Linked DNA regions of Alligator mississippiensis. The protein of the gene in region 1 purifies or fractionates together with the protein of each later gene. This does not show direct contact. Links are inferred from orthologs where the notes say so. Each region holds a gene or a part of one and is shown in the gene's direction. Other genes may lie near its edges. The genes, in order: NSF and NAPG.

Region 1 (16,817 bases):
GGACAGGAACTGGAAAGCTTCTCCCTACACCATGTACCTTGATCTGGACCTGAAGGGACTTCTCTAGGCTTCAGAATGGAGCTCAGTCAGCAGTATCCATTCAGTTGTTTCCTCTTTTGAGGCTGCCGATGATCACAATTTCCACTCTGGATCCTTCTCATTGTTCTTTGTAGTGCCTATTTTCTTCCTTAATGTGCTGTATTTGAGGACAGCACATAAGCCTTTTCCCTTGCACTGCACAACACTGTCTACTGAGTCTTTTACTGTAATATTAATAGCCTTTATTCTGCTCACAGATGAGAAACCTCTGTGTTATGAGATGTGATTAGGGATAGAGGCAAGGCAGAATGATTTTCCTTGTCGGAGAGATGCTTTCGAATTACTGCATTATAAATTTGCCCTTGTGCTGCAACTTGACATTCAGGAGTTTATTAGACATCACAGGAATAGTATAAGCTGCTACCTGTTGAATTAGTTTTTTGTATTTTAAGTTTTTACCTGATTAGTTAGTGCCTTCTCTGTGTATTTAAATTCGGTCTGTAAGTTTATCTCCTTTTCCAAAGGAATTTTTTTGATCCAAACATTGTTTTTACCTCCCTTTCCCATCTTATCTACCTGAAGTCTTCCCCCAACCTTCTCCCTTATCATTCCCAGGGTCTGTCCCCCGGATGCATGCTTTGGAGCTTAAAGTTTAGGGGGACAGTGTTTTTTCCCAAGTGAGGTACTAACAGACATGTTTCACTGTCCAGACCCTAATGTCTCAGCTAGGGGTATGGTGTCTCAGCAGGTATGGGGACTGCAGCTTTACCAACATGGCAGATGAAATCGAATCCCTAGAGCTTCTGTCCTATCATTGCAGGATGCCCCCCCTTTTCCCTGATGTGACTCTGGTAAAGGTGACTGAAGCGGCGAGAAGCCCCCACAGTCGCAGAGGACACTGGGGACAAACCTTGGTGTTCCCGGAGGGAGAGAGAGCACCCCAGGAAACTTACTGTCTGGATGGGCTGGGGCAGCGCAGGAGCCATGCGACCGGTTCTTCAAACAGCTGCTTCCCAGGCGAGGCGGCACCCAGCTGATTGCAGCAGCTGACATTGCCACCGCAGGAAATTTAAAAACCTCGCCAGAAGCTGGCAGGGGAGAAAAGGAAGTCAGCTGGGAACACGCTGGCTGGGCGGGTGCTGGCTGTGGCATCACAGAAGACACTGCCCCACAGCAAAGGAGAGGGAGCAGTGTCTGGCATCAGGCTGGGGATGGGCAATCCTCAGCCCCTCAGCATTAAATCATTCCAGAGGCCTCCCTTTTGGTGGAGGATGCCAGATGCCTGTGGCTCAGACCCTTGAGACCAGGGAGTGAGGCTCCAGGCTTATCATAGTTTCATAGTAGCTAGGGTCAGGAGGGACCTGAACAGATCATCTAGCCTGACCCCCTGCCACAGGCAGGAATGAATGCTGGGTTCACAAGACCCCAGACAGGTGATCACCCAACCTCCTCTTGAATATGCCCAAGGTAGGGGCAAAGACCACTTCCCTGGGAAGCTGGTTCCAGATTTTGGCCACCCTAACTGTAAAATATTACCTTCTGATCTCTAACCTAAACCTATTCTCCATCAGCTTATGACCATTGTTCCTCATCACCCCAGGTGGTGCTGGGGAGAAAAGAGCTCTGCCTATTTGCTGTTGATCCCCCCTGATGAGCTTGTAGACAGCCACCAGGTCCCCCCTCAGCCTCCTCTTGCTGAGGCTGAACAGGTTCAGGTCCTTCAGTCTCTCCTCATAGGGCCTGTCCTGCTGCCCTCTCACCACGCGGGTGGCCCTTCTCTGAACCCTCTCCAGGTTGGCCACATCCCTTTTGAAGTGCGGCGCCCAGTACTGGACCTCAGTACTCCAACTGCGGCCTGACCAAAGTCGCATAGAGGGGGAGTATCACCTCTTTGGACCGGCTTGAGATGCACCTTTGGATGCATGACAAGGTATGGCTGGCCTTGCTGGCTGCGGTCTGGCATTGGTGGCTCATGTTCATCTTGGAGTCAATAATGACTCCAAGATCCCTTTCCGCCTCTGTGCTTTCAAGAGGGGAACTCCCCAGCCTGTATGTATGCTGTGGATTCCTTCTCCCAAGGTGCAGCACCCTGCATTTGTCTACATTGAACCCCATCCTATTCTCATCTGCCCACTTTTGTAGTCTGTCTAAATCTAGTTGCAACCTCTCCCTCCCTTCAAGTGTGTCCACCTCGCCCCACATCTTAGTGTCATCAGCAAATTTGGACAGGATGCTTTCCACCCCCTTGTCCAAGTCGCTGATGAAGATGTTAAACAGTGTGGGCCCTAGGACCGAGCCCTGGGGAACCTCACTGCTCACATCTTGCCAGTTTAAGTATGATCTGTCCACCACTACTCTCAGGGTGCGCCCCATCAGCTAATTTTTTACCCATCCAACTGTGTAGGCATCAATGCCACAGTCGCTTAATTTATTGATGAGGATGGGGTGAGAGATAGTGTCAAAGGCCTTCTTAAAGTCTAGAAAGACTACGTCCATGGCGACACCATCATCCAAGGATGTAGTTACTTGGTCATAAAAGGCAATCAGGTTGGTCAGGCAGGACCTACCTTTGATGAACCCATGCTAATCCCCTGAGCATGATCTCCCCTGCTGGTCCCCCATAGATGTGCTCCTTGATGATTCTATCCAAGATCTTCCCGAGCACCGAGGTGAGGCTTACAGGCCTATAGTTACTTGGGTCCTCCCTCCCTTTATTAAAAATTGGGACTACATTAGCCAGTTTCCAATCCCTACCTCTGATAAGGGACAATCCCCAAGATTGTCCCTTATCAACATCCCAGTGATGGGCCGGACTACTGAAGCCAACGCCGGACCCCATAGTTAAGGGGCCAACGTAGATCGTCGGGGCAACAAGCGGAATATCTGAGTGGACAGGGTGTAGGGGAGGCAGAGCCCTAAGGAACACCGCAGCACACTTGTGAGTACCCTGTCTTCGGGCCTATAGGGGAAGAGAACACCGCTGAACCTTCTCTTCATACACCAACAAGTCGTGGCAGGCAAGTGGGGGGACCCCGACCTAGGGGGCGGTGTTTTACTCACAGCACCTACTCGAGGCATTACAGTGACCGAACAGTGGAGAAAGGAGATGTTCACTGAGGCAGGATGCAGACCCTCTACTTATGCTCTCCTCCTTCTGGAGGAGATGGTGCTTTTAGGTGACTTCCAGAGGTGGAAGAGGCAAGCAAGCTATGACCGGTCTGCAGAGATAACAAGCATCCCTTTGAATGTGAGGTTCACATTCAACAGCTACTTGAGAGAGCGGTATGAGTATCTTGCTCCCCATGACTTGCAAGAGATCAAAACAGTCATGAATGAGACTCTAGCCTAGTGCATAGTTTGGGCTTCTCTCCCTCACCCTCGGGAGAGTCCTTGCTCCCCCAACATTGCAACATACTGGCTGAAGGCATGCTTTGAAACTCATAGCATAAAGGCGAGAACACTACAAGCATCCATGCCTACAATGCCCTCCCCCTCCAAGCCTATCCTCAATGCTGTCACCACTAGAAGACAGTGCACTGCTCCATAAAAAGCCTGTGGTGACACTGGACAGTTCTTTTAAACCTCCTTCTCCTGCAGGCGAGAACCAGGGATGCAGGGCAAAACAAATCATAGAATCACTGAGAAGTAGGGTAGAAGGGACTTACTTCCAGAGGTCACCTAGTCCAGCCCCCTGCCTAAGGCAGGATCATCTCCATCCAACCATCTCATACAAACCTATAATCTAATCTCTTTGTAAAACTACCATCAACCCTGATGCAACACAGGGCATATCATCTTAATCTGCCACAGGTAAAGCAGATCGACTATGGTGGCCAATGTCCTGGTGCTGCAAAGGTTGTTGATACATGTTCAAGAGATTGCAGGAAGAGGACCATGCCCCCCCCCCCCCCAACTGACCCTGACCCAACCCCTAAACGGAACAGAAGAGGGACATTTTTTCCAGCAACTTCCTCACCCCCCGCTAGCCCTTGACATCCCATGATGACCACCCTCTGGTGTTTGCTCATCTCTGTGGAACCTAAACAGGACTCAATGCACCATCACCGTCCCTTCAACAAGCAATCAATACTAGTGGACACCAGCGTGGCAGGGGGGTGAAGTAATCAGCCCGACTGTAAAAAAAAAAAAAAAAAGCTACCTTTGGGACTGTTCTGTTTCCTGTTAACCTGTGAGTGGCCCTGCAGGAATGAGGTGTCAGCAGATAACTTAAAGACCTGTTAAGTGCAGGGGAGCTCACAGGAACCCACTGTAGAATGGACACAGATCTATGAGTGAACAACGCACATTGTTCCCCCAATGCCAAGGTTTAATTGTCCCGTCCATCTGCATGCCCACCTCCAACAGCAGCCACTGGGGATGGAGGCATGGATGTGGGGACACCCTGGACAGGTGGGTAGTACTATGCCACTGCCCCACCTTTGTGCACCCTCAAGCAAAGCATGTCTCTGTCTGCCTTGCTCACAGGGTCTAAGCCTGTACTCATTACAGGGGCCAATGATAAGGTTGCATAAGTAAGACGGGTGGGGAGCAGGGCCTGTGCAACAGCATGAGGTTTAGTTTGAAAAAGTGGCCTCTGGTTTTGTGACCAACTTGCACCAGGGTGTTTTAGAAGTATTGAGCACTATAGACTGCAGCAGGCATGAAGCTGTGATGGCTATCTCAAGCTAGACACCCAAAGTCAGGTTGCTTTGGAAAATCTATTCCCCAGGCTTATGGAACATAGATGTGACAGCTTGCTGGGTCTAAAAATAAACAATCTGATTGTATTTAACACTTACTTTGTATTTGATTTTGTCTGGGATCTTACAGACCAACTGGAGCATCTTTACTATGGAAAAACATTCAAGTCTCAGCTTCCAGGAGGGGATGAAAATTAAGGCAACCATTAACTCCTGCTGGGCTAAGCTTCAACAACAATCTACCCTTCCTGCCCTTGAATGCTTCTGTTTCTTCTTGAGGTGTTTGATTTGCTCCTTGCACTGCATGGTAGTTGATTTGACACCTGTCTCTACTAGGCTTTTAAAATCAGCTCATCTGGATAACCGTGGGTGAAATTCTATTATTTGGAATATTTGGACCAGTGATTTTCCAGAATCACACCAGCCAGTTAGCAGCTTTCTGCATGCAAAGCACCTCGTCGTTTTCAGGGCTGGACCAAGCAATATAGAAACTGAAGCAAGCTGGATGGGAAATGAAGGGTTAAAATGCCAAACAAATACTTATGAATCCGCTGATAGCACATGATGCAAAATAGGGAAGCGGAAAGTGACATGATGGATCCAAGGGTTAGAAAAACCTGGGAATGACAGTGAAGGACTATTTGGACTCAAGCACAGCACAATAGCAAAATAACTTGCTAGGGAGCACAGCAGTTATACATTAGCTTGGTTCCATACCTCCAAAAGAGCCTGTCAGCTCAGGTTTTACTTGCTTATGGATGTATGCATAAGAGCTGGGAGGGTATATAATAAGTGCTTCAGCACCGTTGCCGGCTGCAAAATATAACTAGGCTCCACTGTATCTACATGCCATGAATCAAGTATAAAGCGGTGATCTCTCTAAGAAAAATGCTGCAGTCAGTGCAGATACCACTCTGCTTTTGAGTCACGTTTGATAGTTGCAGAGTTGCATTTAGATACAAAATATTGCAGGAATTATCTGATGATCCTTATTTCTGAGTCACTCTATGTTGTGAAATACAACACAGAAAGAAATTGTATGGTGTACAGCAATGGTATGGTGTGGTTATAACCAGAAAAGTGTCTGGACAAAAGATTGGTTCAGAGAAGTTCCTTCCCAACCCACTCAGGTCTACTGCATAAACCTTATGCAGGTCTTTTCTGCTCCTGTGGTCCTCTGTCTGCAACTAGAGAGGCTTTTGCTCAATTTTTCCACCTTCCAGCTGGTCTCACTCCACAGATCCTTCACCTAAAGCTAAAGGTCATCTTGCTATTTCATAGACTCTTCCCCAAACTCAGGCTGCCCTTTATAGCCCAGCAATTAGCATAAATGACTAGAGTAAACAGCTAGACATTAGGGTGGATGACAGGAATCAGTTAAATTCTATTTGTAAAAAAGCAGGAGAGTCCTAAACTACTTTAATGCAGTACTGCCATTTCACTTGCAAAATCTCCCCTTTAGGAATGCTTCATTCTCTATGCTACCACCAGTTTAGCAGTGTCATCTCATGTGTGCTAGAGCTAAGCAAACTGCAAAGCACAGTAATTTTTCACTTAAAATATGTTTCTCTTGGGTCCCTATCCTGCAAAATTTTATGCAACTGGCTGGGGCCCACTCATATATAAAAAATGAATTGCACAAGTAGCTATTTGTAGAATCCAGACTATATAAAGATACACAACACAAGCCCCTGATGAGCCAAGATTGTACTGCAGATCACCTCAAGCCAGCTTCTGACGGATACCCACATGCTCTCAGCAACTGACTTTTGAAGTTCTCATTACCACACCTGAGTTGAGCAGGCAATTGTGCCTTTGCCGTGGAGTGCCTCACTGGCCACGTGTGGAAATCCACCAGGGTCCATTCCTCCCTGCTTTTAAAAGGATTCTAAACTGATGTTTTTCCTCCAAAGCTGTTTTTAGAATAAAGCTGGGGTGCCAGAGCAGTTATTTTCCCTCCCCTGTCCTTGATATTTCCTTCTTACTCTTACTAGGTCTTCACCTGCTTTATCTTGTCAAAGTTACTAAATTTTAACTTATCATTATGCCAACTTCTCACAAGCAAGAGGGGGTAACTAGACAAAAATACCAGAGAAACTAAGAGGATTTATTAGCTCAAGGACAAGAAACAGCAGCAAGTAGCTGCAAAATGGTAACCATAGAGATGAAAAGACCAGTTTTAAAAGGCATACTGGGAAAAAATGTTCCCATTGACAGGTAACCTTGCACTAGGGAAAGTTAGTACCAAATAATATTATAAAGAAAGGACTCCTAGGACAGAGGTTCTCTCTGTGTGTCATATACCTTCATATTGGGGCATAGAAGTAAAGTTGTGCAGTTCTCTGAGCACTGGAGCAGAGGAAGAGATTTTTTTGTGTCATGACAGGGTGACAAAAGCTTCCTTTACCTCTACTCATTGTGTTGCCCTTGTGTTTGTCAGGCTGAAAAAAAAATTAGAAATTTAAAAAATCTGCAATAATTTAAGGGTTTTAAATTTGTATCAATATGCATTACAATTTTTGTTTGTTTGTAACAATATCACCTTGCTGAGTCACAATCAGCCTTATAAACTCCAGAAATCCTCTTCTGCAGTATTGTGCTCACCCATACGTTCCCCATTTTGTATTTGTGCATTTCACTGTTCCTTTCCCAAGTATTTTGAAGTTTGCCTTATTTAACATTACTTTTTTTTTTAATTTATCAAGATCCTTTTGAATCCTATTCCTGTCTTCTAAAGTGATGTCAACTGAAAATAAGGATACTGAAGAGAACTAGACTCAGGAAAGACCCTCTGGGAATCCCTCTTTATTACTACCTCTTTCTAGTTTGACATTGAGCTATTGATGGCTGCCAGTCCAATCAGTTATGTACCCACTTAATGGTAGCTTCATTAGATCATATTTTATTAGCTTATCTTTCAGAATATTGCATTCTTATGAGAAGGATTTGAATAGTATGCAATAAATAAGGCCAAAAGCCATACACACAGAACAGTGAAAATAAAACAAAAATTGGATGGCTGCTCCATCAGCAAGTATCATTCATCTTATGCACTGACAGATGTGGGATCCTTTTACAGAACAGCATGTGAACATGCCATTAAATAATGCACAGTCAGCTTTAATATTTGTATTTCTTAATTTCTGTATGCCTGGTTTTGCAACCTTAACATTTTTTATCTGACTTGCCTTGCAGCAAAACAAAAAATCTTCATCATGGCTGTGACACCAGCATGCTAATGAAAACACATATCCCTGCTCAAAAGGATTACAGTCTAAATGGTCATATACATCAGACAGACAGATGGACAGAAAAGTGGGCATGGGAGGGAGCAGGATAACAGAAACAATAGACTGTTTTATCATCTTCTAGTTTCTTGCACAATTTTTAGGTTGTATGATATGTAATGCAATTGTGTGGTGATGCATTCGTTCTGCACAATGGTGTCATAAATACCACACACATTAATGTTGTATTAGCATATAGCAAGGGTGTCAAACAGAGATGTGGGTTTTCCAGAACATTTTGAATTGGAAAATTTTCTGGAATGCCCTAAATAGAGCATGATCTGATTTAGCACGTCTATTTGACTTATATTTAGTAAACAAACCTAAAAAAGTTCCCCCATGTTAATTTTATGTCCCAATAGCCAGAAGTATTTGAACTGAAATATATGATTGGGAAAAAAATTAAGTACAGCACACTTAATGTGGTTTAAATGTTATATTTTAACAAATTCAAAGCTTTATGTGGAAATAAATAATTTTTATTGGAATACTTGTAAAAATGTAAGGACAATGCACAATAGTGTGTACTTCCCTTACACTGTTTGTTTAAACTTAAGAAAAAAAACAAAGGCACTGAAGACTGTCAACACTAATTTTAGCACACCCAAAGAACTGTGCATGATATGCCATGGTTGCCCACTCATCTACTTCAACAGCGTCTAACTCTCTTCCACTGAGGTCATTGCGGCACCTCCAGTTTCACTGTCACTATCTGGAGAATCACTTGTACTACTTATTAGTTTCATTTCAGAATCAGATTGAGACAAACCTGATTCAGAACTACTTGAACCACATTCTCGTTCACTAAAGGATGGTTTTACCAATGAGTCTATGGGCAAGGGCACCTTATCATCACACTGCATCTTCTTCATTAATTGCACTTCTGACTGATTCTCCAGAAGCAAGAGATTTTGAGAAATTGAAACAAACTTAGCCAGGACCGGCCCGCAATTTTTGGGGGCTCCCTGCAACAAATAGTTTTGGGGGGCCCTGACTTGAAGAAGCTGGTGGCGGCAGCAGTGGGGGAGGGTGGCAAGCAGCTGGACATGAAGCCAGCGGCAGTGGTGGCAGTGTCGGCAACAGGGCGGGGGAGGGGGGGGGGGGGCGGGGTGGATGGTATTGAGCAGCCAGATGCAGGGAGCCCCTTAGCTGTAGGACCCACTGTGGCCACAGGTTTTGCAGCATAGAACAGGCTGGCCATGAGATTAGTGGTGTGTTCATTTGGTTTTGATTTGACCTGCACAGCCAATTAGGTGAATTCATAACTTGATTTTTGGTTTGGATTATTCTGTGAGTGTATTTACCCTCTTGTTTATAAATCAGTAAAACATGTATGTACTCTCTCATACACTTCCTAGGGATAATCACCTGAAAAGCATTAATTACAACTTTGAAACTGCCAAGCTTGCCTAATATTGTATTGGCATCTATTTATTGTTACTACTGAATTTTGCAAAACAATGAATTTTTAGAAATGGAAAATCTCCCATGGAAAAAATAAAGCACTGGAAAATTTTCCACCCCATGTCTCTGGTGTCAAATATGCAGGCCCTGGGTCAGATCCAGCCTGCAGAGCCCTACCATGGAGCCTGCCCTATGGGCCCTGGACCAGCCCCAGGCACAGACTGCAAGACAGGGCATAGACCAGGGGTATCAAACTCATCTGGCTCCAAACCTCTCTGGGGCTGGTGGTAGGACGGGGCCGGTTCAGGGCATGCACTGGTTCTGGCATGGGGAGGAGGGGGGGTCTGTCCTGCAGACAAACCCTGTGCAGTCACCTACCCTGGAAATCTTCACAAGGAGACTGGGCAGTCACCTCGCTGGGCTCCAGTTGTCTTTTCCTGCCTAGTGCAGGGGGCTGGACCCGATGATCTACAAGGTCCCGTCCAGCCCCGAACCGCTATGAAGCCATGTGCCCCTTCTCGGGCCCGCGGAGCTGGATAGGGTGGACACCCCTTCCCCCATGGAGTCAGTGACGTTGCATGCGGCTGTCCCTGCAATCCCTGTGCCCCGAGAGCCGTCAGCGCAAAGACTCACAGCCGGCGCGCGCGGAAGCACTGCCCGGAGGCGAGCAGCGAAGGCGGCACCACGGCGCAACTCAGCCACGCCGGCAGCGCGTGACGTCCGGCCGCTGCAGGGCGATCTCTGGCCACGCCCCTCACGCTGCGTCGTGCGTAGCGGGGCGGGGAGCCGCGGCAGCTGCCTGTCAGTCGGCGCTGGGAGCCGGACGCACCGGGTCAAGATGGCGGGACGGGTGAGTGAGCTGGTGCGGCAGGGCAGGACCGCATTGCCCCTCTCCCGCGCTCCTGCCCGCCTCGCGGCGGCTTATCCTCCCCGGGGCAGCAGCGTGTCCTTCCCGCTCCGCCCCTGCCCCTGCCCCTGCCCGCGGGCGGGGTCCCTGGAGGCGACGCAGCCCTCGCCCGGGGCCGAACCGGCTGCACGCATGGCCCGCAGGCGCCCAGTGGGGCCCGCGGGGTTCAGGTGTTGCTGGCCGTGACACCCCCCCGGTGCCGCAGTCCCTGGGGCCACCGGGCCCGTGTCAGGTGCGTACCCCGCTGCCCAGAGGTTTTCGGAGCTTGGGGACCCAAAACAGTGTCCCTCCCCCTCCTTTTTTTTCTGTCAAAGAAACAAGTGAAAATTAAGAGCTGGTGTTTTCCAAACAGCCCCTCTCATCCACGGCTGAGTGAGAGCGGGCCCACGCTGCGTAAAAGGATGCCGTCCTTGTTTTTGCTTCTAGTGCTGGAACCACAATAAAAATGAGAGCAGCGACAACCCCTGGAACAGCTGGCTTCATCTGTTTGGGTCTCCCCCTCTTCCCGTTTCCTCCCGCACCCCTGAGAGATCACTGCACATGCGCTAGTCTTTGTTGTCAGGACATGACGGGTAGCGAAACAGGGCTGTCTCATATCGTGTAAACTCTTCCATGTTTTATTTTTACCACCCTGTATCAGATGTTGTCTGGATTTTCCTCTGATCCATCACCTGTCCCGTCACGTTTTTTTGGAATTTGCTAGAAATGGTGCTGTTTTTACAGCAGAAGGGGGAACTCACATGCAGCAGTCTGGCCTGATGGTGCGAAGGATGACGACGAAATGGTTGCATGGTGCAGTGTTTTTAACTGCGCGAGAACACGTCTGGTTGTGCTGCTGGCTTTTCTGGGTGAAGTTAGGTAGGGTGAATCTCCAGGTTTACGATTGCGAGTAAAGGAGAGTGCTTGTAGGATTTCTTTCTTTTTCTAGAAGCAGAGTGGCAAATGTTATTTAAAAAATAAAGGCTTAACTGCACCAACTTATCTTTTCCAGCACTGAGTGTTGCATGAGCAAGTCTTATTTTAAGGACTAGTGGAGCTAAAGCACCGAGTCTCATATGCTTAAAACCTAATAACCCTTCCATCCCCTTAAGAGCATGCTATTCTAGCATCAAAATGCAACTTGTCAAATGATGGGTGCCTTCAAATAATACTGTATGGCTAATATAGGTGTTCCATTGTGTTCACAACATAATCAAAACAGAGAATAAATGCTCGTGAAATCTAAGAAGCCTGACTGAGAGGAAAGTAGTCTATTTTTAAGGGAAAAAGTGATTTTAGTCACAAACATCTATTGCTTGTTTAATGTTCCTATAACTCCGTTGTGGCATTATCTTTGAACTTTTTAAAAGTTGAATGGTGTTGCCTACAGTTTCCAAACATTTTTCCTGATACGCAGTTGGTTTAAGTACATTGCAGCTCGCCAAACATGAAGTGTTTAGACTGAAAATAGTCTATGCCAAGAGGCTGTCTCAATCTGAACACCTTTTTTTGTTTGTTTTTTGGAAGTTTCAGCTAAGACCGGTTAGGCTATTTCATAGATTCATAGAAGTAGGGTCGGAAGGGACCTTGTAGATCATCAAGAGAATGCAGTTGGGGGGGAAAAAACAAACGTGTTTCTGTAGTGTCTCCATGCCTTACTGCAAGGATTTGAAATTTGGTAAGACGTGACTAGTATCAGGGGATGTGCCTTTTAGCTTCCCTCCATGTAAGCTTGTCTGAGAAGGCCTCTGAGTAAAACCCTCTGCACATGCTCAGCAGAAAATTCGCTGAAGACTCAGTAAATGCTAAGCATACTCAAGTCCAGGTTGTTGAAGCTGAGCTGGATTTGATCTGCTTCTTGTGGCTGCTGCACCAATAGCCAAAAGTACAAAGATGATTTTTCTGTGCTCTCTCTGCTGCTGTGTTGCAGCCTGCAGAATAGTACAGAGGTAACAAATGTTTTTGCTTGAGTTGGCTTGAATGCTGGAAGCAGGTTACCTGCAGCAGCGTTTGGATGAGCTAATTTACTCTGCTTTTTCAATTAGGTAAAGCTACCTTGGGTATGTTGTTTTGGTGCAGTCTTCAGCATACACATACTTGGGCCAGGGTTGACTTACTAAAATGAATGTTGTTGCTATTTAAAGATTTTATTATTAAAAATAAAGATGTTTAAAATGAAACTTGACTATAATACAAGATGGTAAAGCCTAAACAATGTACAACTGCCTAAAACATTAAAATAAATAATCCTCTAGCAGAAGCTTTGAGTTACAGGCTGCAAGCTTTTCTATATTAAAGAACTGGGGGAAGAGAACATCTGACTTCTGAGGGAGGTCAGGTATTATGAATATGGCACAACTACAATATTAAGAGAGTGATTCTGTAGGGTACTGGATGCAAAAGACTGACAAAGAGTCCAGGTCCCAATGCCTGAGGTAACTGAGTCCAGGAGATGCCAACATGGGTCTCAGCATGATTACATTTCAGTTACCACCCTAAGGTAGCTCTTTGACATGACTCAAAAGTTCATTCCGTAGTGAAAGTGTGGGGGTTCACCTTTTTGGGTGGCATGCCACTAATTAGCCCTAAACACTCTCTGAGTGCCATTGTGATCCCCTTCCTCTGTCTAATCTACTGCTCTGCTTTCTGCTCCCTTCTCTGTACCTGATCTCCTGCTCTGCTTTTTGCTTTCTGCCCTCCTCATCTGTCATATTTAGAGACTTCCCATGCTGCTGTGTGGCACTCATGCTGCAGGTTGGTCACCCTGATCTAGTGAGTAGGAATATATATTTCAGTATTTTCTAACATACCAAAATGTAACATTAATATTAATATTAAAATTAATTGATAATTATTTGAAAATATGATGCTGTAATGCTTTTTAAATTCATGTCTACAGCTAAGCAGATTCTCCTAGATTTAAGAAAGATGCATCAAATTTGGTGCAAAGGCTCTATTTAGTAGGAGCTAGATAGCAGCATAAGAGCAGGGGATAGTGAAACGGTGTGGATCATTCAGAAGCTAGAACATGGTTCCATGTAACAATTTCTGTATTTGCTGCTATCTTGAATAGCAGTGATGGGGGAAATGCCTCACTTCAGAATTTTAAAGCTCTTGGGTTTGCCTTCCTGAATGATTAAAAAATCAAAATAATGAAGTGTTAATATTAGGAAATGACTTTTAAAATACTGCTCTAGAAAGAAATTACTCGGATTTAGTTTAGAGCATTCTTCCTGTTACTGCAGTCATGGCTGGGCTGCTCAGATTGTTTGTGACCTTGACTCTGAGGAGGAGTAAAGAAGAGTTAATCCTCTGTCCCTCCTCCCCATGAAAGAAAGGTATTTTAATATCTTCATGCAGAGAGTAGTTCACCTTTGGTTTTGTACTGAAGGTCAGAGTTCTGAAATACAGAGGGGCCAAATACTGGAGGCTTTTTATTTCCACTTCTGCTTTACTCCATGGCTTTTGTAGTATATAGATGCTCTTATTACCTTGAAATCCACCTTTTAACTTTAAACATATAGGTATTAAAGATTATTTATATCATGCCCAAACCACCTTCAAATCTGTATATTGTCAGGGAGAGAGAACATTCTCAAGCTATTATAGGGTGATTGTGGGCTTTACAGAGACACTTGTGTAATGCTGGAATTGCTATCAGGTGATATGATAGTGATAATTCATTACAAACCTGTTACCTGAAATTCACCTGTGAGTTCCCTCCCAAAGCCTATTTTGGGGATATTGTACAGGAACCTGTGGACACCAATGACAAGGCTTTACCATTTTGAAATATGTTGTATCTGCAATCTAGAGTAGCCTAGTTCTGGTTTATTTTGTTCTGTCATTTGGGGCTCAAAAAATACTTGACAGAAAGTGAATTTTAACAGTTTAGACTAAAATGGTATAATGAAGAACAATGTCTGTGTAGTCTTTTCATTTCTAAAATTACTAGGTTTGCCTGAGTCGTCATCACCAATGATTTTTTCAGTTGGGTTCCTAGGAGATATTGCTTCCTTTTATACTGCTAGAGAGGGCCGTGTGATTTGAATGAAATGCCTTGCGGGCATTCAGAGAGTAAACAGGTAAATAGTAATAGAAATTGCCAAGCTTGGCAAATTCTGTATGGCAGAGATGATATCTCAGTGCTTTACAATACTGGGATGCTGTTGGCACATAATGTTATGCACCTTGTCTTCTATATCTGTCTCCAAGGAACAGAGAGACCCCTCTACACACACTCGCTGTGCTTGAAGTAACCTAGTAGAAACACTGAAATGGTTAGGATGTTTCACTGTTTGTTAGTCTTTGGTCTCGCCTCCTTCCCCATTCCCTTTTAACATATGGAATCAAAATCTTCAGATACAAGGTGTCATTAGACATCTATAAAAACATATTAACTTTTGGACTAATTTAGCTTTTCCTCTGCTGATGTGATATTCATCCATTTTCTTTTTTGAGGTCATTTATTTTTCTTGGTAGTAATCTTAGTATAATACGTTGAATTGGCTTAAAATAAGAGGGAGCTTTATACTTCAACATTAAAAGGTGGTGTCATCTTAACACTTGTATCTGAATTGGTCCAAGGCAGGGGTGGGCAATTATTTCGAGCAGAGGGCCACTTACTGAGTTTTGGCACGCCATCGAGAGCCGCATGACAGGCAGCCAGGGGCAGATAAATATTAATTTTCTACATTTTTAGGGGCCCTGTGGGCTGGATAAAATGGTCTGGTGGGCCACATCCGGCTCCTGGGATGCATTTTGCCCGCCCCTGGTCCAAGGGATTCCCATGTAAGATCTTCAGCCTTAAGAGATTCATAGATTCATAGATATTAGGGTTGGAAGGAACCTCAGGAGATCATTGAGTCTGACCCCCTGCATAGGCAGGAAAGTGTGCTGGGTTTAGATGACCCCAGCCAGATGCCTATCTAACCTCCTCTTGGAGACTCCCAGGGTAGGGGAGAGCACCACCTCCCTTGGGAGCCCATTCCAGATTTTGGCCACCCTTACCATGAAGAAGTTCTTCCTGATGTCCAGTCTAAATCTGCTTTCAGCTAGCTTATGGCCATTATTTCTTGTAACCCCCAGGGGCGCCTTAGTGAGTAGAGCCTCACCAATTCCCTTCTTCGACCCCATGATGAATTTATAGTCAGCCACAAGGTCACCTCTCAACCTTCTCTTGCAGAGGCTGAAGAGGTCCAGGTGCCCTGAATAAACTGTAGGCACGCCTCATGCAAGACTGTCCCAGGTACTCTGCTGACTCAACTTTTCTGTTCTCCCTCTCCCTCAACTTTTTAAAGTTGCATTTTAATACTCTAAATGTTAACAAACATATTGATGTTCCGTGGTTTTTACATTTTTCCATTATTTTTGACAGTGAATATAGGGTCTGATCCATTTCAATTCAATTTTACTTTCTGGGTTTCATGCTGAAGCTCATGGTTGTAAGTGCCACAGAAGGAACATTTAAATTCAAACTATAAGGTCTTTGTACTAGATTTTAAAAAATCATGACACATCCATTCATAGACTCTTATGAACCTGACTCTGTGCTAAATTGGCTGCCTCGTCACATGAGCTCTCACAAACCCTATGAGATCCGCTGGACCTTCCCCATTGACATACTGAACTGGTGGGCTGGGAGAAACATCACCTAGACCAGGGGTTCTCAACCTTTTTGTGCTGAGGACCAGCAAGCCGTGGACCAGCAAGCCATGGACCAGCAGTGACTGGCATACTGTGGGCCAGGTAGCCAACCCTTTTTCATACTCAGTATAAAAGTTGAGTCTGCAGTATGCTGGTCACTGCTAGTCTGCGGTTTGCTGGTCTGTGGTCACTTCTGGTCCAGCAGCTAACCCTTTGTGGCCCAGCACTGGGCCGTGGCCCAGCACTGGGCCATTGCCCAGGGGTTGGGAACCCCTGACCTAGACAAGAGAAATAGGGAAACTGATGGAAAAAGATGCAAATACCTTAGGTGAACAGACCTACTCACCCTGTGGACTGACCTATCCATTGTTTTCTGCTCTTCAGGAGCCAGCCATAGATGAGAGGGAGAGCAGCTGAAACACTGACAAACAAGCAGGCAGCAAGATATGTTTTGTTCTGGGCCATTTTCCTTTCACCTTTTGGCAAGAGACATGCAAGTCAAGTGTTACCTTGCTGTCGGGTTCTGAGAAACAAAATGGCTCTTTCATGTCAAGGATATCCCTGCCTTCAGCAGGAGCTTAACTAATATCTATAAAAAGCCTATTTGGGAATCATCTCATAGTGACCATTCATGGGTTACACTTACTGCTGTGCCAAACAAAATGTGGGTCTCCTTTCAGGGTCTCTCTTCAGTGACCATTTGATATCTTGGTGATAGACACTTTTGGCTCATGAAGATCTGGGAAGTAGGTGTTAGGTTGTCTTCTAGCTTGGGTGCGAGGCTATTCCAAGAAATTTTACAGCTCCTCTCTCTACTCCAATGAGAGCTCTCCCTTGGGACTAAATTGTGGACTA
Region 2 (16,437 bases), on another chromosome or scaffold:
AAGGCATACAGCTGCGAGAAGTGCATACATAGGTGTATGTTAAGGAAGCATTTTCCAGCCCAGGGCTGGGGTCCCTGGGGCAGGGGGTGCCAGGTTAATCCTGGGGAGTATCAAGCACAGGAGAAGGTAGTGGAAGTGAGGAAAGTGGCATGAACTCAGACACTGCTTATTTCCTTCCCCCAACTGTAATTACTTTCCTGGAGCTGCTGATAGATCAATTGGTGATTCTTAAAATTCTTTCCTTCCTATTCTTGCTCCAGCCAGGGAAGGGGAAGGGTCAAATGTTCACATTATGAATATAAGTTTTTTGTTCTCTTCCTGTGGCTCTCAACCCCTTCGTAAGGACAAATGTAGTTCAGCCCAGTGATACAATCGGGGAAATCCCACCCCTTCACTCTAAGCAACATGAACTAGAATGAGGGAAGGTAGAGAAGGGACCACAGCTCAAGCATGAGAACAAAAACAAAAATAGGAAGGGTGGGGAGAGAGGAGGGGGAGAAAAAATGACTTGAAAGGGATGAAAAGCAGAGAGTTAGTACGCTTAGCCATGGTGTGAGGCTGATAGGTATGGGAAACATCCATCAGTCTATAAGATCCCACCAAAAAAGAATGGTTGGCAAACACCATCTTGTATTATCCTTCCTCTTCTGCATAACAACTTGTTTCTCCCATCAGTAATTAATGGCAGGGATGCTCCTCTGGGCATGGAGAGAAATTAGACACTATAGCACAGGGGTACTTGTCTATTGTGGAGTGGTGTTCAGAAGGAAAAGGTATTGATATTTTTCAGCTAAAAAGAACAAATTTAAGGGAATTAGGAGTCAGTGCATTCCTGTACTACACAAGATTAAGTCAATGAGATTTATTGACTTAACACCAGCCTATTGGGGCCTAACACCAGCTAAACAATATTCCTTTTGATTTTGAACATGGAGAATATGATGTTTTAAAGGGGAACTTTAATTAATCTGGTTTAGTGTTTTGCTAGGGTTTCCAGATAAGAAAATGAGGTTAAATGACATAACAGTAGGTTCAACACAGTGCCTTGTTTATGATGGCTGTAATATTTTTTTGCCGGCTTAACTTAAATGCTGCAATGTGGATATTTCCAAACAGTTTGACTGCTTATCTGGGATTGGCACAAAAGCATCTGATTGGGCCTGCCAGATTACTCTCACACAGTATTTAACATTTCCATTACTGAAAAAACCACCAGCGGGTTTTCTTCTTCATGCACACTGGTAATCACTCGTGTTCAAACTATAATACCCAGCTTGTTATTTCATCAGGATAAGCCAGACAGAAAGGAAAGGAGGATTATTTAAAAATCTGTCATTATAAATAGTCAATTTTATGTGACACATGTAAAATATAAAATTTTAGCTGTGCCAAAGGCAAAAAATGTGGCTAAGAAGGTACTGCAGCAAAAAAACAAAAACAAAACCAACCCTGCCGTGTGTTTGTTAAAGCCTTATCTCTAGCTCAAAAGGTATTTCTAGATTGTCACTATTTATTTATTCTGTATAATTCAAGTAGGCTATACTGCTTTATTTGTTGGTCATCACCCCAATGAAGTGCTTATGTTTATGGTAGTCAGAGCAGATAAATTCCCAAGGGCCCAAGCTTTCAAATTCCTGCATATTGTTAATACATCCTTGTGCCTTGGCTAACAGCAGGTGTCTGTTATCAAAAATGGATCCCTAAGAAGTACACTAAAAAGAGTTTTCATTTCAAACAACCCAAACTGTAAGCTCTTGGAGTCCACACATATGGAATAGTCCTAATGGCAACTGGTGTAGGCTCAGTACTTTTCTGGGAGCAAGCAGGCATCCCTGAGGGATGGCACTTAATTTTTCCTTTAAAATATTTCTGCATCTTGGAAGTCTCTATCAAGCCTGGAAATTAGTTATGTGTCTGTGGCTTCTGTAAAAAAAATGGCTAGCCCCATTTGTTAGCTGTTTGATCTGATGCCCATTTGTTCCACTCTTTCTCTACAAAACTTTTAGGTGGCAGCAGCAGCATCCTGTGCCACCCTGGGTGACAGGGCAGAAGCACTACTCTCCATTAGGAGTAGTTTAGGCCTAAAAGCCATGTGTCACCTTCTGCTGCCCTCAGTGCTCTCTCAGTGGAGGGAGATAAACAACCTTAGTCTGAGCAACCACTATTTAGCATTACTTATTTCAATAGTGTCTTTAGGCCCCTGCTGAGACTGGGCCCCATTGTACCAGTGACTCTACAAACACAACAGAAAAGATAGTTTCACTTCAGAAGAGCGTACAGTTTGGACAGGATTAAGGAAGTGTTATGATCACAGTTTTGGTGAAAGGGAGATAAGGCACAGAGAAGTAACTTTGATGAAGGTCTTTATCAAGGTCACATGGAAATTCTTTGTCAAAGTTGGGACTTGAACCTATATCTCCTAAGCCCTTGCCCAGGGCAGCAAGATTGTCCATTGGAATTTTTCTGTTGACAGTCTCTCCCATGGTTGTAGGAAAGTGACCCAGAACACCCAATGCAGCCTTGTTTGTCCACATTTTTCAAATTGTCCTTGATGAAAGCCCCTTAAATAGAGTTTGACACTGGAATGAGAAAGATGGGCCCATACATTGGAACGCCAAGTATGAATGCCAATCCCTGCTCCTCACCAAGCTGTAGGAAAGTTGATATGCCCAAGTGAATCCAAATATTATGGCTCAGATCCAAGTCTAGTTAACATGTAAACACTTTTACAGCTGTCCTTCTTTCATACAGAGGGACAAGGGTTTTTTTGCAGTTTTGATAAAAGATGAAACATTTAAATAGCTGGATTTAATCAGTATAGTCCAGAGAAGTGTCCTGCCCAGTGGAGACTCCAGATGTTTCAGGAGTCTAGAAAACCTTCATTCACTTCAGTAATACTTGCTATACAGACATACACTATTGTAGATGATGTAAAATGTATTAGCTCAAACTACTGGAATAATATAATCAAATCCTCTTCTATATTTTTTGTTTCAGCAGTACACATGCAAGTGTACATTAGCAAGTTTTAATACTGATAAAAGGCTGCAGGATCTGCTTCCTTTGCTTCTGATGTTTGGACTCAGAGCAAGAAGACCAAGTCTTACTGTGCCTAGCCAGCACCCTACCTATACTTTTGGTGGCCCCTGGCAAACTTTTAGTATCAGGGCCCCCCTTCACCAGAGATAATGATAAAAATAATAATAAAAATTACCATTTTCAGGGCCCCTTTCTGTCCGGCACCCAGGTGGCTGCCCAGTTCACCCATGCCTGTGTCCAGCCCTGAGCATAGCTGCCGAATTTAGTTACTCAGTTGAATTCAAGAATCATTGTTTTGCGCTGGAAGGCCACAACAGGATATGTAGTGGGACTACTTTTCCAAAAGGTCACATGAAAATTCGGTGTCAAGGTGGGATATTTTTCCTAAAAACTATGGAAGTATGAGACAGTTGCATCGCTGTTTCTGATTGCATTTTAATTTGGTCTGATGTACACATATACTGTATGTGTAGTTATGCTGTTTTATGTAAACAACAGTTAAGAGAAAGCATAATGGTTACTTTTACTAAGTCACTGGTAATTGTAAGCATTTTTTACTCCACTGTAGTTTCTAAACTGCACATTACACAAAGAAAAAAGCCTGTTTCAGTTACCTAATTAATGTATGATGTCATAGGATGGAAATTATGTTATGTTAAAATGTATGCTTAAAAATAAATTAGCTCTGAAAGTGAATTATGCTAAGGGATTAAAGGGTCTATCTCAAGGGAATGCTGCAGAGACTAATTGGTACAGCTGAGTCATTTGAGCAGTTGACAAGTGAAATAAGCACAAACCAAGCTGTTTTCATTGTTGTGACAAATATGCATGCTTTGAGAATGCACTTAACTGTGGAATGTGCTGAAAAAGACACACATATAGGCTGAAATATAAAATATTATCTTTTTTCCCCCCTAAAACGTAGAGTCAGAAGAGGATTCTATGGAGGCTTCTGTCCAGGGCTTCTTGATTCAGAAGCATACAGCTCAGTGACAGAGTAGCTGCTGGGGGCTGTCTGACTAAATTATGTTGCAGAATGTCAGATGGACCAGTGCTGGCAAAATTTAAGCTAAAAATAGGGAATCTGTTATCATTCCTCTGAAAATCTTGCATGAGCAATACAAGACTGTGCAGCTGATGAGGTACACAATTGAAAGTGTGGAAACTCCCTGATTTTAATGGATTGGGCTTTTGGAGAGGAAACTTCAGGCTTCTGTTTCCTCAATCCCCCTTTTATGGATACCGAGCAGGCAATGGCATCTGGAAGAACCATTCATTGTGCAGTTTGGCAACCTTGTAGAATAGTGGAAACAGACAATCGGGCTTCCTAAACTGGCAAAAATTGTGTTGATTTTTCCTGCATCTGTTCCAGAAGCCATTTCAGGCACTACTCATTTTGAGCGTATGGTGACAGTTTGAAGGCAAGGTCTGTGTCAACTTCTAAATTCCATTTTGGGTATAGTTCATACTTCATTTTCCATGTAATGTGTAGTGTGGCTTTGAGAATTGTTTTGGCAGGAACCTGAGAATTTATGGAAAAATTGTATCTGGGACGATGTGATAGAGCAATTAGGGCCATTCACTTTGAATAGCTGAATACCTTAGTGGAACCAGGAGTTTCCCATCAGCAAGGTCATTGACAGACTCAAGGCCACTTTGCTCTAGAACCCAAGGGTGGGAAAGAAGGGTTAAGAAAGAATGGTACTTGGAAATTTCCTAGTGGAAATACTGGGACAGAAAATATGTCAGAGATCTTTTAAAAAATGGTATGTGCTCTGGACCAGTGTTTTTCAAATTTTTTTGGCCATGTACCCCTTTACCTGCAAAATATTGCTCCTTATACCCCGTAGGCCTGATACATTTCTGCATATTCATTTTTTAGGAAGAGGTGTCAACACCAACATCAAATGAGGCACCACCATTACTCACTGCATGTTGACCAATCAGAAGCTCTGCTGCCATTATTAAAACTTAGGTAACTACCCCTGGAGGTATGTCTCCCCCAGTTTGAGAACCATTGCTGTAGGCGAACCAAGGGACTACATTGTCAGAAATAGAAGACCCACCTGGAGCAAGTGGAGGGAGAAGACACTGACCAAACCTGAGAAATCACAAAGAGAAATGAGACTAGAGTGATTATGTCAAGGAATATGTTGTTTTGCGTAGTGTTTATTTTTAAAGTAAAGTGGGTATGTTTGAGATGTTCCTTTGCCGTGTTTCTGTTTTACTGTCACATGATTTTCCTATCCATGAAGATAGGAAAATCAGAGCTCCCAAAGCCAAGCAGACTGGTGAAAATGTGTCTCAGCACCCGGAGGGGAAGCTCTGGCAGGTTAAGGCACTGGCTTCAATGGTTTGGTGGCTATTCTGAATGGTCCTACTGCCCAAGAATGATGTGAGACACAAGATCTACACCTGTAGGTGCAATCTCTCATCTAGGAGACCCAGAACTAGCAACGGTGACTGTCACTACCCAGATCCAGTTGGATAAAGGACTATGTAGAATTTAGCAGCTGCTTCCAATGGGAACAGTCACATTTGGTAAGTGGGACTGAACCAACTTGTGACATGCCCATCTGGGGAAAAGAGAGAGTCAGCAAGTTCCTGCATAATAGCTTCCTACAGTTAAATACGTAGAGCCATCTGCTTCTATATTAATTTAAACAGAATGTATAAGACTATATTTACAAAATCTTCTCATTTGCAATTCTGTTACAGTAAGTATGCAAGTTTCTTCATACAATACCTGTATACTTTTAAACAAATGATCATTCACAGCACTGCATCAGATGCTGTGATCTGTTTCTTCCCAGATGTAAAATCTACCAAAGAGCTTTTGGGTCTATGAACTAAAAGTTACCCAGGAATATCCTATTTCATACAATGCTGTTCTTGGAAATCCTTATCCTGGTCATTCCAGTAAAGTGTAACCAGACAGTGCACATATGTAATTTCATTTGGAATTGAATAGCTTTTTATAACCAAAGAACAGAGTAGGGCAGGAAAATATAAATTAAAAAAAATGCTTTGGGTGCTTCAGAAGTGTTCACTTAGGTTATTCTATACCTATAAAACAGCAGTTCTATTATTTCTCTGGTTGCTCTTAATTCACTTTCTCACCAAACACTAGCATTAGTTGAAAGGCCAAGTAATGAGGATAGGAAGTCTAAAAACCAAACTTGTCAGCAAGGATGTGAAGAGAATTCTTGGGACATCATCTGCTACAGGATTCGTATCACCAAGTACCCCTTATACTCCCACCAGCTACCCAGTATGTAGAATCATGTTTGCAGTCTCCAGATTGGGATACAGACTCAGGGCTTTTGCTGGTCAGCAGCTGGGGTCCAGGAGAGATAATTTTCCTTTTTTCACTTCATGAATGATACTAATGGATAGGGGGGCTGTGGGGACTCTTTCTCTGAAACACTGGGAGGACAGCCCTCCTAAAGGAGGGGCTGGGGCATGCTGTGGCTGGAACTCAGCAAAATAAGAAATCCCTGGCTAAAGGGTCTTGATATTCCACCAGATTTGGGGATCAGGAAGAAATATTTCCTTAGGTCACATTGGCATGGACTGTGCAGTTTTTGCTTTGTCCTTTTCCTACGATCTTTTGAGCATATATTAACCAACTGCCCCCTTGTAATTGCAATGGCAGAGCATTGGCAGTGCCCTTGTCTCCTCCTATACTTAAGGATTGTTCTAGGGCAGGAGTCAGCAACCTATGGCCTGTAGGCCATATCCAGCCTGTGGAGTCTTTTGATCTGGCTTGCAGACATGGGGCTTCAGCCAGAGTTGCTTTCCCTATGTCAGCATGGGGAAAAGCAACGGCAGCAGGCATGGGGGAAAGTGATGGCTTTGGGCACAGGTAAAATTGATGTCAGCAGGTCTTTTCCCTGTGCAGAGAAAATGCCTGTCTCTGCTTTTCTCTGGTGGACACTTTCCCCATGCTGGTGGCAGGGAAAAGCAGCAGCAGCATCTGGGTCCATCCCCACAGCCTGCCTCTTACACAAAATGGGACAATCTGGCCCCCAGCCTTTAAAACCCCCTGTTTTTAAGGCAGTGGGGCCAACCTTTCTGGCAGGTTGGGGGCACAAGTCAGGCAGGTTGGGGCCACAAATCCACCCCACACTCTTCCTGAGTGCCACTTTTTCCCCCTTCTTGTGCCCAATCTGCTGATCTGCATTTTGCTTCCTGCCCTGTGCCCCTTCCCTGATCTCCTGCTCTGCCTTTTGCTTCCTGTCCCATCTGCTGCTGTGCTGTGTTCTTCCTGATCTGCCATGTGCTATGTACAGACAGCTTGCCTGTGCCACTCGTGTGGCAGGTTGATGACCCCCGTTTTAGGGTGTGGTTGATGTTTCTGTGAAAAGTGCTTTTTAGTTGTGTGAGAGGGTCTGAAGTGGTGATTTTGGGGGATTCCTTGAATAAATGGTTGTCAGGGGACTGGCTTTGATGGCTCAAAGATCTCGTCCAGTCTTATCCTCCCATGTTAGCAGCTCATGCTTTGTCATAACTCACAGGTACATAATGTGAGATGCATGAACAGTACGTGCTCTCAGCGACCGGGGGCATGGCTGTGCTGGCGGCAGCGGGAGGGAAGAGGCAGCGATGGGAGCGCAGTGGTGGTAAGCCAAGCTCCTGCAGATGCTGCCAGCACTGTCGGCAGCGTGGGGGGTGGCAACCACCCATAGGTGCCGCCAACAGTGTTGGTGGCGGCCAGTGGCACTCGTGGTGAGATGGACCATTAGCTGAATGTTTCTTTTAGTGCAGTCTTCAGGACTCAAGGGGATCGACCCTGCTCTTGCAAAAAGAAACCTCCTTCTATTCTTCTTTTGTGCTCTAGGATAGGTGATGTGATTTAGCTCTGAGTAAAATCACAAGAGTAAAATCATAGCTACAGTCACAAGAGTCAATACATATTCAGCCCAATAATAAATCTGGGTATTAAGTAATTCCTGTTATGTGGCGGCATATTTCTTGTTTTGCTGCTGACTGCAGAGGTAACTTTGGTACAAAAAAATACAACACGGGTGCATGCGTCTGTAAGAGAAATGTGGCTGTTCACTATCAAACAATTAGTTTGGGAGTGTTTTGGTCTTGTTTTACACGCAAAGGTCTCATAGAAATTTAAAAAAAATGAGTGGGAAGTCCCATAGGATCATACGTAAATGGGGCTGGAGGGGAACTCACATGGTCAGATTGTCCAGCCTCTTGCTCCATGTAGAGTGAGTCCTGACTAAACCATCCCAGCCAAGCGTTTGTCCAGCCTATTCCTGAAAACTTCCAGGGATTGGTCACAGTGTCACTAGGCAGCTTCACCTGCCCTGTCCCAATGCACCGCCACCCTCTTTGTCGGGAAGTTCCTCTTAGTCTCCAACGAAAATTTCCTGTGCTGCTGCTTGAAGCAGTTGCTCCTAGTCCTGTCCCCTACCACAGAGGTTCCCAACCCCTGGGCTGTGGGCCAGTACCAGGCTGCGAAGGGTTGGCTGCCGGATTGAGAGTCTGGAAATGACTGGCATACTGCAGAGCAGCAGCCAACCCTGAGTATAAAAAATGGTTGGCTGCTGCTCCGCAGTATGCGGATCACTGGTGATGTATATGGGGTGCCCATGGGTGCATGGGCACCCCGAACGTGGCGTCGAACCCCCTGTGAAAAGGTACTGCTGACACTGCTGGCAGCACCTGCAGGCAGTCACCGCTCCCCCCCCTCACTCCCATCGACATTGCCACTGGTGCCTGCAGCTGGTCGCCAAACTGCTGCTCGGCGCTCGCCACCCCTCCCCACCACTGCTGACAGAACTGTGGCCGTTTGTGGGAGCTCCCCGCTTGCCGCCGCCGCCGCGCTCCTGCCGCCAATAGCGCCGCCACTGCCTGCGGGAGCTCGCCATGCCCCCTAAGCCTCTGGGGACACATAGCGTTCATGATGACGGTCACTTCTGGACTGGAGTTTGCAGGTCTGCGGTTACTTCTCATCCATGGCTTGCCAGTCCACAATCTAAAAAAGCTGGGAACCCCTACCCTATGGCCAGAGAGAAAAGCCCATCTCCATCTCCTCAGGTAGTTGAAGACTGCCATCAAACCCCACCTCAGTCTTTTCTTCTCCAGGCTAAATCAGCCCAGTTCTTTCATGCTCTAGGTTTGCTGACAGCTTTTATGTCTTGCTCTCAAGCTTTGGGCAAGTCCGGTTGCACCCAAGTCCTTCTGTGACCAGCCTTAAGACCCATCTGAGGTCACGCAGGGAAGCAGAGCTGGAAGGGGCTTCCAGAGGCCCGCTAGAGCAGTGGTTCTCAACCTTTTCTGGACCAGGACCCATTTATAAACATCAATTGCCAGTCACAACCCAATGCCCCTCACTCCTGACCCCCTGCCCCGTGTGCATGGGGAAGGAATGGGGGGCCCCAAGCAGCCCCTCGCAGGCCAGAGCTCTGCCAGCCTGTGAGGGAAAAGCCCGGGTTTCCTGTTTTTCTCCTTTAAAGAAGAATCCATTTTTCAGGTTTGTTCATGACCCTTTCACATATTCCTCCAAACCACTTTTGGGTCGGACACACGGGTTGAGAAACATTGCGCTAGAGTAGCCCGCGGGGCAAATGTAGGGGTGATGATGGCATGCGTGGGCAGAAGCGGGGGTGCCATACACAGCACCAGCAGGAGAAAGCCCCCGAGGACGCGGCCACGGATGGTGGTGGACGTGGGCAGCACAGTGCGCAAGCCTCTGCCACCGGGCCCGTGCGAGCAAGAGCAAGTCCCCGCTCTCCCGGCGCAGATCACCAAACCTCGCGCCTCCCCTCCCACTCCCCGCCCCACCCCCGCACGGCGCGCAGGCGCAGTGGCCTATGGGGCAGGAAGGCGGGCCCCGCCCGCTCCGCGGCCTGAGCCTCACGGCGCACCGTAGCTCGCCCTTCCTTGACGTCGGTGGCGCAGCTGCTGCGGCCCCTGCCCAGCCTCTACGCAATGGCGGCGCAGAAAATTAACGAGGCGCTGGAGCACATTGCTAAGGCTGATAAATAGTGAGCGGTGCCGGTGCTTTGCCTTCCTCGTAGCGCGGGGCGTCGGGGCCCGGGAGGCGCTCTGGGGATCCGCAGCCGCTCCCCCCGGCACCAGGACGCCTGGCGATGGGGGGGAAGGAGAATTGCCGCTCCCAAAATGCAACGCATGGGACCTCGCGCGGGGAGGGGCGGTGCCTGAAGGGATGGAATCTTTTTGCGGGGGTGTCTTGGGGATGGAACCATGGAATCTTGGTCCGGGGGGTCTCAAGGGGATGGAACCTTCCCCGGGACGGGGCGGAGACTGAGGGGAATAGAACCTTGAGCGGGGGGCGCCTGAGGGATGGAACCTGGGGGGACATCTCAGGGGGATGGAACCTCCCGGGGGGGGGGGGGGGGGCATCTAAGTGGGGGGGCCTTCACTGTAGAGGAGGTGGGAAGGGTTGGGGGGGCAGTGCCTGAGGGGGATGGTACCTGGGGGGGAGGAGCAGCACCTTAGAGGAATGGATGTTTGGCTGGGGGGTGCAACGCCTGGGGGGATGGAGCTTTCGGGGTGGAGGCCTCCTTTACTGCTCCCTGGGAAGACAGACGACCTGCACCCCCATACCAGAAACCTGGGAGGCGCTGCCATGGCCCCAGGCTCACCCATGCTTCATTGAACCATTTGGCGGTGTCCCTGGCTCAAAGCAGGTTCCTGCCCCATTGAGCCAGGCTGCCTCTGAGGTGCCCCCAGCCCTGCTTGACCTTCTGCCTGATCCCACATTAAGCCCCATCTGCCCCCATGATTAGGGGCCTGGAGGGGACAGGAGTGGGAGAGCTGAGGAAAGCACCTGGGTAGAAGGGGTCTGATGAGAGCAGCGGGGACAGTCAAGTCTTGTTCTCTGTCAGCCTGTGGGGAGCCAAACTGATGGGCGGCTTCCTGAGACAGCCCAGTGTTTACAGCAAGTCACTTAATGTTGACACTGGATAGTCTGGTGTGCCCAGGAGGTGAGGACAGATCCCTGCTGCTTGCATTCAGGCAGTGAGGACAGATGCACTGAATGGGATAGCTGTGCCAGCGGTGCTGTTCTAAGTTATTGCGGCAGGCAGTCGAAGGCATCAAAAGTACTATGAGCATGGGTTACCTTAAAGCAGCGATTCTTAGGGTGCTGTGGCATTCTGGGTTGCCTTGAGATACTTTCAAGGGTGCTATGCAGTGTTATCACTATTAGGTGTAGAAAGGTGATTCACAAGATAAACCCAGAGATTTCAATTACGAAGCCACCATGTCAAAAACATGCGGCCATGTTGAAGTCTTTCCAAGCTGTTTGCGACAGAAGAATCGCTCCACTATTTTTCTGTCATCAAATGACAATTAGGAATTGGTATTTTTCCAGGTGGGGTCTTGAGTCTCCTGAGTGGTGCCTTGAGTCTAAAATTGAGAGTCACTGGTTTAAAACATTATAAAACATCTGGGACCAGGTGAGATGCATCTTAAATTGTCACCCACCAAAAGTGCATTTATGCCTAACTGTCCTCTCAACAAGAATAGTTTTAGGCTCGTCTAAGGAAAGGGGGAGCTTCTACTTTCAAAAACTCCTGTAAAATAAATGTCTTGTATTTGATCCTATAGTTTCATGCAACAGAATGATTTTGTTCAAGTAAAAAGCCAAAAATAATATGGACATGAATTGGTGTGAAGTGGCCAAATAACACCAAAAATTGTGTTTTTGTAAGTCTTGCATTTCTAGTACTAAAATGCCTAGAGTAAAAAATAATATTGAGGATGGAAATATTTTTACATCATGGATTTTTTTAAATTGTGTTATCTGGTAACTTTTAAAACCACTGGTAATAAGTGTTTGCTGCATGTTGCTATATGAAGCTGTGTAAATAAAAAGATCTTTTCTGAGAACCACGAGTCAGGAACATCTGAATTTTTACCGATGTGTCACAAGGTGAATCATTTTATTTCTTTTGCCTCTATTTTTATCTAATGTAGAGATTCTTAGGTGCTTTTCAGGATTCCTTTAAAGATTATTTGGGCTCTAAATATAAAGCATGAACATTTTATAGTTGATGATTTTTATTTTTTTTTTGCATTTCAGCTTGAAAACTGGATTCTTAAAGTGGAAACCAGACTATGATAGTGCAGCTACTGAATATGGGAAGGCAGGTATGTATGACTGTAAATTATAAAAAAAATAATTTGTTAGCTTAAATATTCTAGTAGTTGAATCCTAAATAATGGTTTAGATATCTCACTTCTCTAATTAATGTTTTCTATAGAGAATGATTGTGTGTGTGTATATAACTGAAAATCCCTCAGATTTTACTGTAAAAATGCATGTTGCATTTTCTACCCTAAGGATTTGGTATAGTCACTAAGTCTAAGGTTGAAAAGTTGTTGTAGCTGTGATGGTCCAGGAAATACATGAGGCAAGGCTTTTTTCGTGACATCTTTTATTGGGCCAGCAGTACAGTTAGAAGAGATGCTAGATGAACTTTGCTAAACAAAGTGCTGTTCTTCAGTTGGTCCAATAAAAGATGCCATAAAAAAGTTTTGCCTCTAGTTAGGGATGTGAAAGCTTATATGATTAATTGCTTAACCAATAAGTGCAGTGATAACTGATTAGCTAATGGGTTATCTTTTAGCTCTGGGTGGGTGTAATCTGGCAGGAAAGGGGAAGGAAGGAAGCTACATAGGGCCCAGCAGAAATCAGAAGGCAGCAGAGTGGCCAGGGGAGAGCACGCGCGTGTGTGTGTGTGGCCATGTAAACACTCCATTATTTTAAATTTGTCATTCATGACGGGCAATTGGCTAATATGTATATGTATGTTTATACAGGTTTCCCTTGCTTTATGCAAATTCTGTATGTGTGAATTCACTTATGCGATGACCCTTTTTATACCAAAAATTGGTTACATGCGAGGTAAATTCACTTGTATGTGATCATTGTGGTGGAAGCCCACAGCTGCTTTGTGCGGTGCATTGTGGGAGTGATGTGCACCAAAATATAGTCTCCTGTATGGATCTGCGCTTCTCGCTTGTTGTCTGCGGCATGTGTTTCTGTACTTGCCATCCCCATTATAATAGTGCCCTGTGCTTGCGTGTACTGTGTGCTGTTGGTGAGTACTTTTGTAAAAGTGGTAGAAATGGGTCTGGGGGTCAGTACAGTCGAGGTATTTGTTGCATTGTAAAGTGGGTTCCCTTTATACAAATTTGAGTTACGTGTCGTTTTCCAGGAACGCATGTACAGCATTAAGTGAGGGAAACGTGTGTGTATCGGAAGGCAGCAGGGTGGCCAGGAGGGGAGGGGAGAGGGCTGGGGCAGGGTGTGTATATAAGTATATATAAAACCTGTATAAGTAGAGGAGGTTAAACTTATTTTTTAAAACTATATTTACATCCCTGCCTTTAGTAATTGTAACAGTTTTATAAACCTGTAAATGTAAATCATGATTTTTTTTTTCAAAATATGTTTGGTTTTGACAGCTAAATAAAATCCAGAACCTCTTATCATGGGGAACAGATAGTCTCTTCCATTTGTTTTTAAGCAGGGGCTTGATTTAATGGCCAGTTTGCATGTGAACTCGTTTATCTTTAATAGGGGCTTAATGTGTGCAAGAAATGAAAAATAATTGGGCTTTGAAATATAAAGGGAAAGTTCCAAGAGTGGCTAGAGGCAGATAATAGAAATATTTGAAGGGAACCAGAGATCGTTCTTTCTTTTTTATTTCTCCAACCCTCATGTGAGAGAATTTAGAGTGAGAGACAGAGTCTGTGAGAAACTCTGAGGATTGCTTGCTGTATAAAGAAATACCTTTTCTTCCTGCTCTTAATGTCTTTGTGATTAAGGAGAACCTTTTGGATTTTTCAAGTTTAAATCTGTTTTTAGTTTATCACTTCTTGAAGGGGTGTAGGTTGTAGTCGTGTTGGTCTAAGGACATTATTAATAACTATTCTTCAGCTATTTGGGTTGGTCTAATAAAAGATACCAGATTCACCCAAGGGACCTTGTCTGCCTTTATCACTTCTTAGTATTCACTTATGTTTGAGACTCAATTTAAAAAAAATCCTTTTAATGGAAATAGCTGCAACTTTTTGTAAAGTTGTGTGTTTGCAACTTGCAAAGCAGAATTTGCTTAACTTTTAAATCCATATTAAAAATAGGTTATAGCTGTCTTATTGTAGCACTTCATCGTTAATTATGAAGGCTCGTAGTTATTGTAGGCGCATTTTGTAAGTAGGAGTCTTGTTTTTAAATGCATGTTACTTGGAAGGTAGAGGGGGAATTGTCACCAGGCATCACTTTTAATATTGTAGGTAAGACTTCAGCAACAGTTCTGATTAATGAATAAAATAAACTATATCTCAGATTTTTTAAAGCTATTGATTTTAAAAAGACTTGGATTACATTTATAAAATAAGAGAGTACTGAAAACAAGCAACTTACGAGCCTTGTAAGTCTTTGCCTTGACGGTGTAATTAAGTATAGTTTTTCATTATGGATCAGATTTCTAATAGTATTTAAGTTCTAAAGATGCGGACAGCTGTATAGTGGGTTTTCCACAATAATTCAAGCCTTTTTGGATATCCAGCTAGGCATCTAAAGATGCATATAGTCATGTTTTAAGTACCTTATAAAAACCTGTCTCTAGGTGTTAGGCACAGTAGATAAAAGAAGCTAAATGAGAAAAACAAAACAAACAGCATAACTTTTATTTTCTTTTTTAAACTTTCTTGCAGCTGTTGCTTTTAAAAATGCCAAGCAGTATGACCAGGCAAAAGAAGCCTGTTTGAGAGAAGCTGAAGCACATGAAAATAATAAAGCGTATCTTTTGACTTGCTGTTCCTGTTTGAGGAGCCTGAAGAATCTGAATTGTTAATTAAAACTAGGCTGATGAGAGTTAGAAGAGGATGTGCTATTTATTTATAAATGTATGAATGAGTATAGGCACAAGATTAAGTTATCTACTAAGTAATTTACATTGCCAGACTTTCTGAATTAACTTTGAAACATCTCCCAAGAGGTATGCTGGGTTTTTTTTTTGACCTTTCCAGTGAAGAAAAGAAGCTCTTTTGGAGCAGGAACTATCTTTTTGTTCTGTTCGTGTTCGGTGCCTTCCACAGTGGAGGCATGGCATGGCACTACTGCCAGACACACATTTTAAAACAGATTCCAGTGCTCTAGTTTCCTTTCAGGTCTTGATGTTACATGCATGCATGCCTTAGATGAGACCTTCTCTTTGAGTTTGTAATGTGCCTTTCACATAGGAGGAATCAACCAACAAAAATGTATTATATTTTTGCAGTAAATTATTATTTGTCTGTTTTCTTGAAATGTGTTGCCTAGAAATGGGTGATAAAAAATTAAGTAATTCTAAAATATTAATCTATCATTACAGTATTTTAATACAGTATAACCAACACTTCCTTCAGTTTTATGTAATTGAGTTTCACCTGTGGTTTTATAGTGGCTCTTAAATTCATAATCTGCCCTTAAATTTATTTTTTTTAAAACAATTTTGCATGCATGCCCTTATTAGATTAATTTCGCCTCTCAATGTTACCTGGGAAACAAATATTCAGATAATGGGATTATTTTGCTTTCAACTTTCATAAATTAATTGTGCTATATAGAAACCTGTCATTTTTATTGTTGATATCCTTAACTTTGCTTCTGTTTCATCCAGCCTCTTCCATGCAGCCAAGTAAGTGTAAATTCCTCAGGTAATTTAACATGTATCCAAGTTTGCAGTATACATCTAAAGTTGAGATTTGTTTTAGAGATGCCGAATTTTGATTCCATGGAACTAAATGGAAAAGCATCATTTGATTTCACTGATTCAGGTTCAGGTTTACTTAGGGACTTCCTGGGAAATATTTGGAAAGTTGGAACTTCTATTAAAGTTATAGAGACTTGTGGCTTTTCAGCACCTTTTAGGATCAATTTCTGTAACTGGGATTGCTTGTTTATGTCAGTGGTGCTCAACATTCTGGCCCCATGGGACAGATACATGGCGTGAGGTCAGTCTGTGGGTTTATATGTAGATGAGGCACAGGTCAACCTGGTCCAGCTTCACCTCATGAAAGGCTGAGCCATGCTAATCAAATGTCACACTGAAAGAAGGGCTGACAGAGGGATTCTGGATATGCAGTGTTGTGGCTCATCATGACTTGAAGAAGAGTCGGCAGTAGGGGGAACTGTGCTTAATGGACACTACCATATGTCTTAAGTAAAGACCTCAAGTAAATATGGTATTCTGTAATATTTTTTAAAAAGAACCTTTTTGTTAACGTTTTTATGATTATGTGCCTTATTGCCAATGTTGCCTGTGAAGTGAGAACACACGATATTTCCTGTCCTTCTGCTAATCCAGCTGTAGACAAATACGGAAAAGATTGTCTGATTGTTTGAAGCACCAGTGTGAAATT

Evidence for each region.
Region 2: the proteins of NSF (region 1) and NAPG purify together in Homo sapiens (affinity purification with mass spectrometry; 3 studies listed by BioGRID and IntAct, with this or other methods). This does not show direct contact. The link is inferred for Alligator mississippiensis from reciprocal best matches to the Homo sapiens genes NSF and NAPG.

What each region holds. Positions count from the first base shown.
Region 1 is NC_081827.1:170,321,018-170,337,834, forward strand, and holds the start of NSF (vesicle-fusing ATPase), read left to right. Parts: upstream 1-10,189; 5' UTR 10,190-10,268; coding exon 10,269-10,280; intron 10,281-15,544; exon of another isoform or gene 15,545-15,564; intron 15,565-16,817.
Region 2 is NC_081826.1:95,958,889-95,975,325, forward strand, and holds the start of NAPG (gamma-soluble NSF attachment protein), read left to right. Parts: upstream 1-9,914; 5' UTR 9,915-9,987; coding exon 9,988-10,043; intron 10,044-12,106; coding exon 12,107-12,174; intron 12,175-14,748; coding exon 14,749-14,833; intron 14,834-15,695; coding exon 15,696-15,713; intron 15,714-16,437. UniProt on the Homo sapiens protein: Required for vesicular transport between the endoplasmic reticulum and the Golgi apparatus.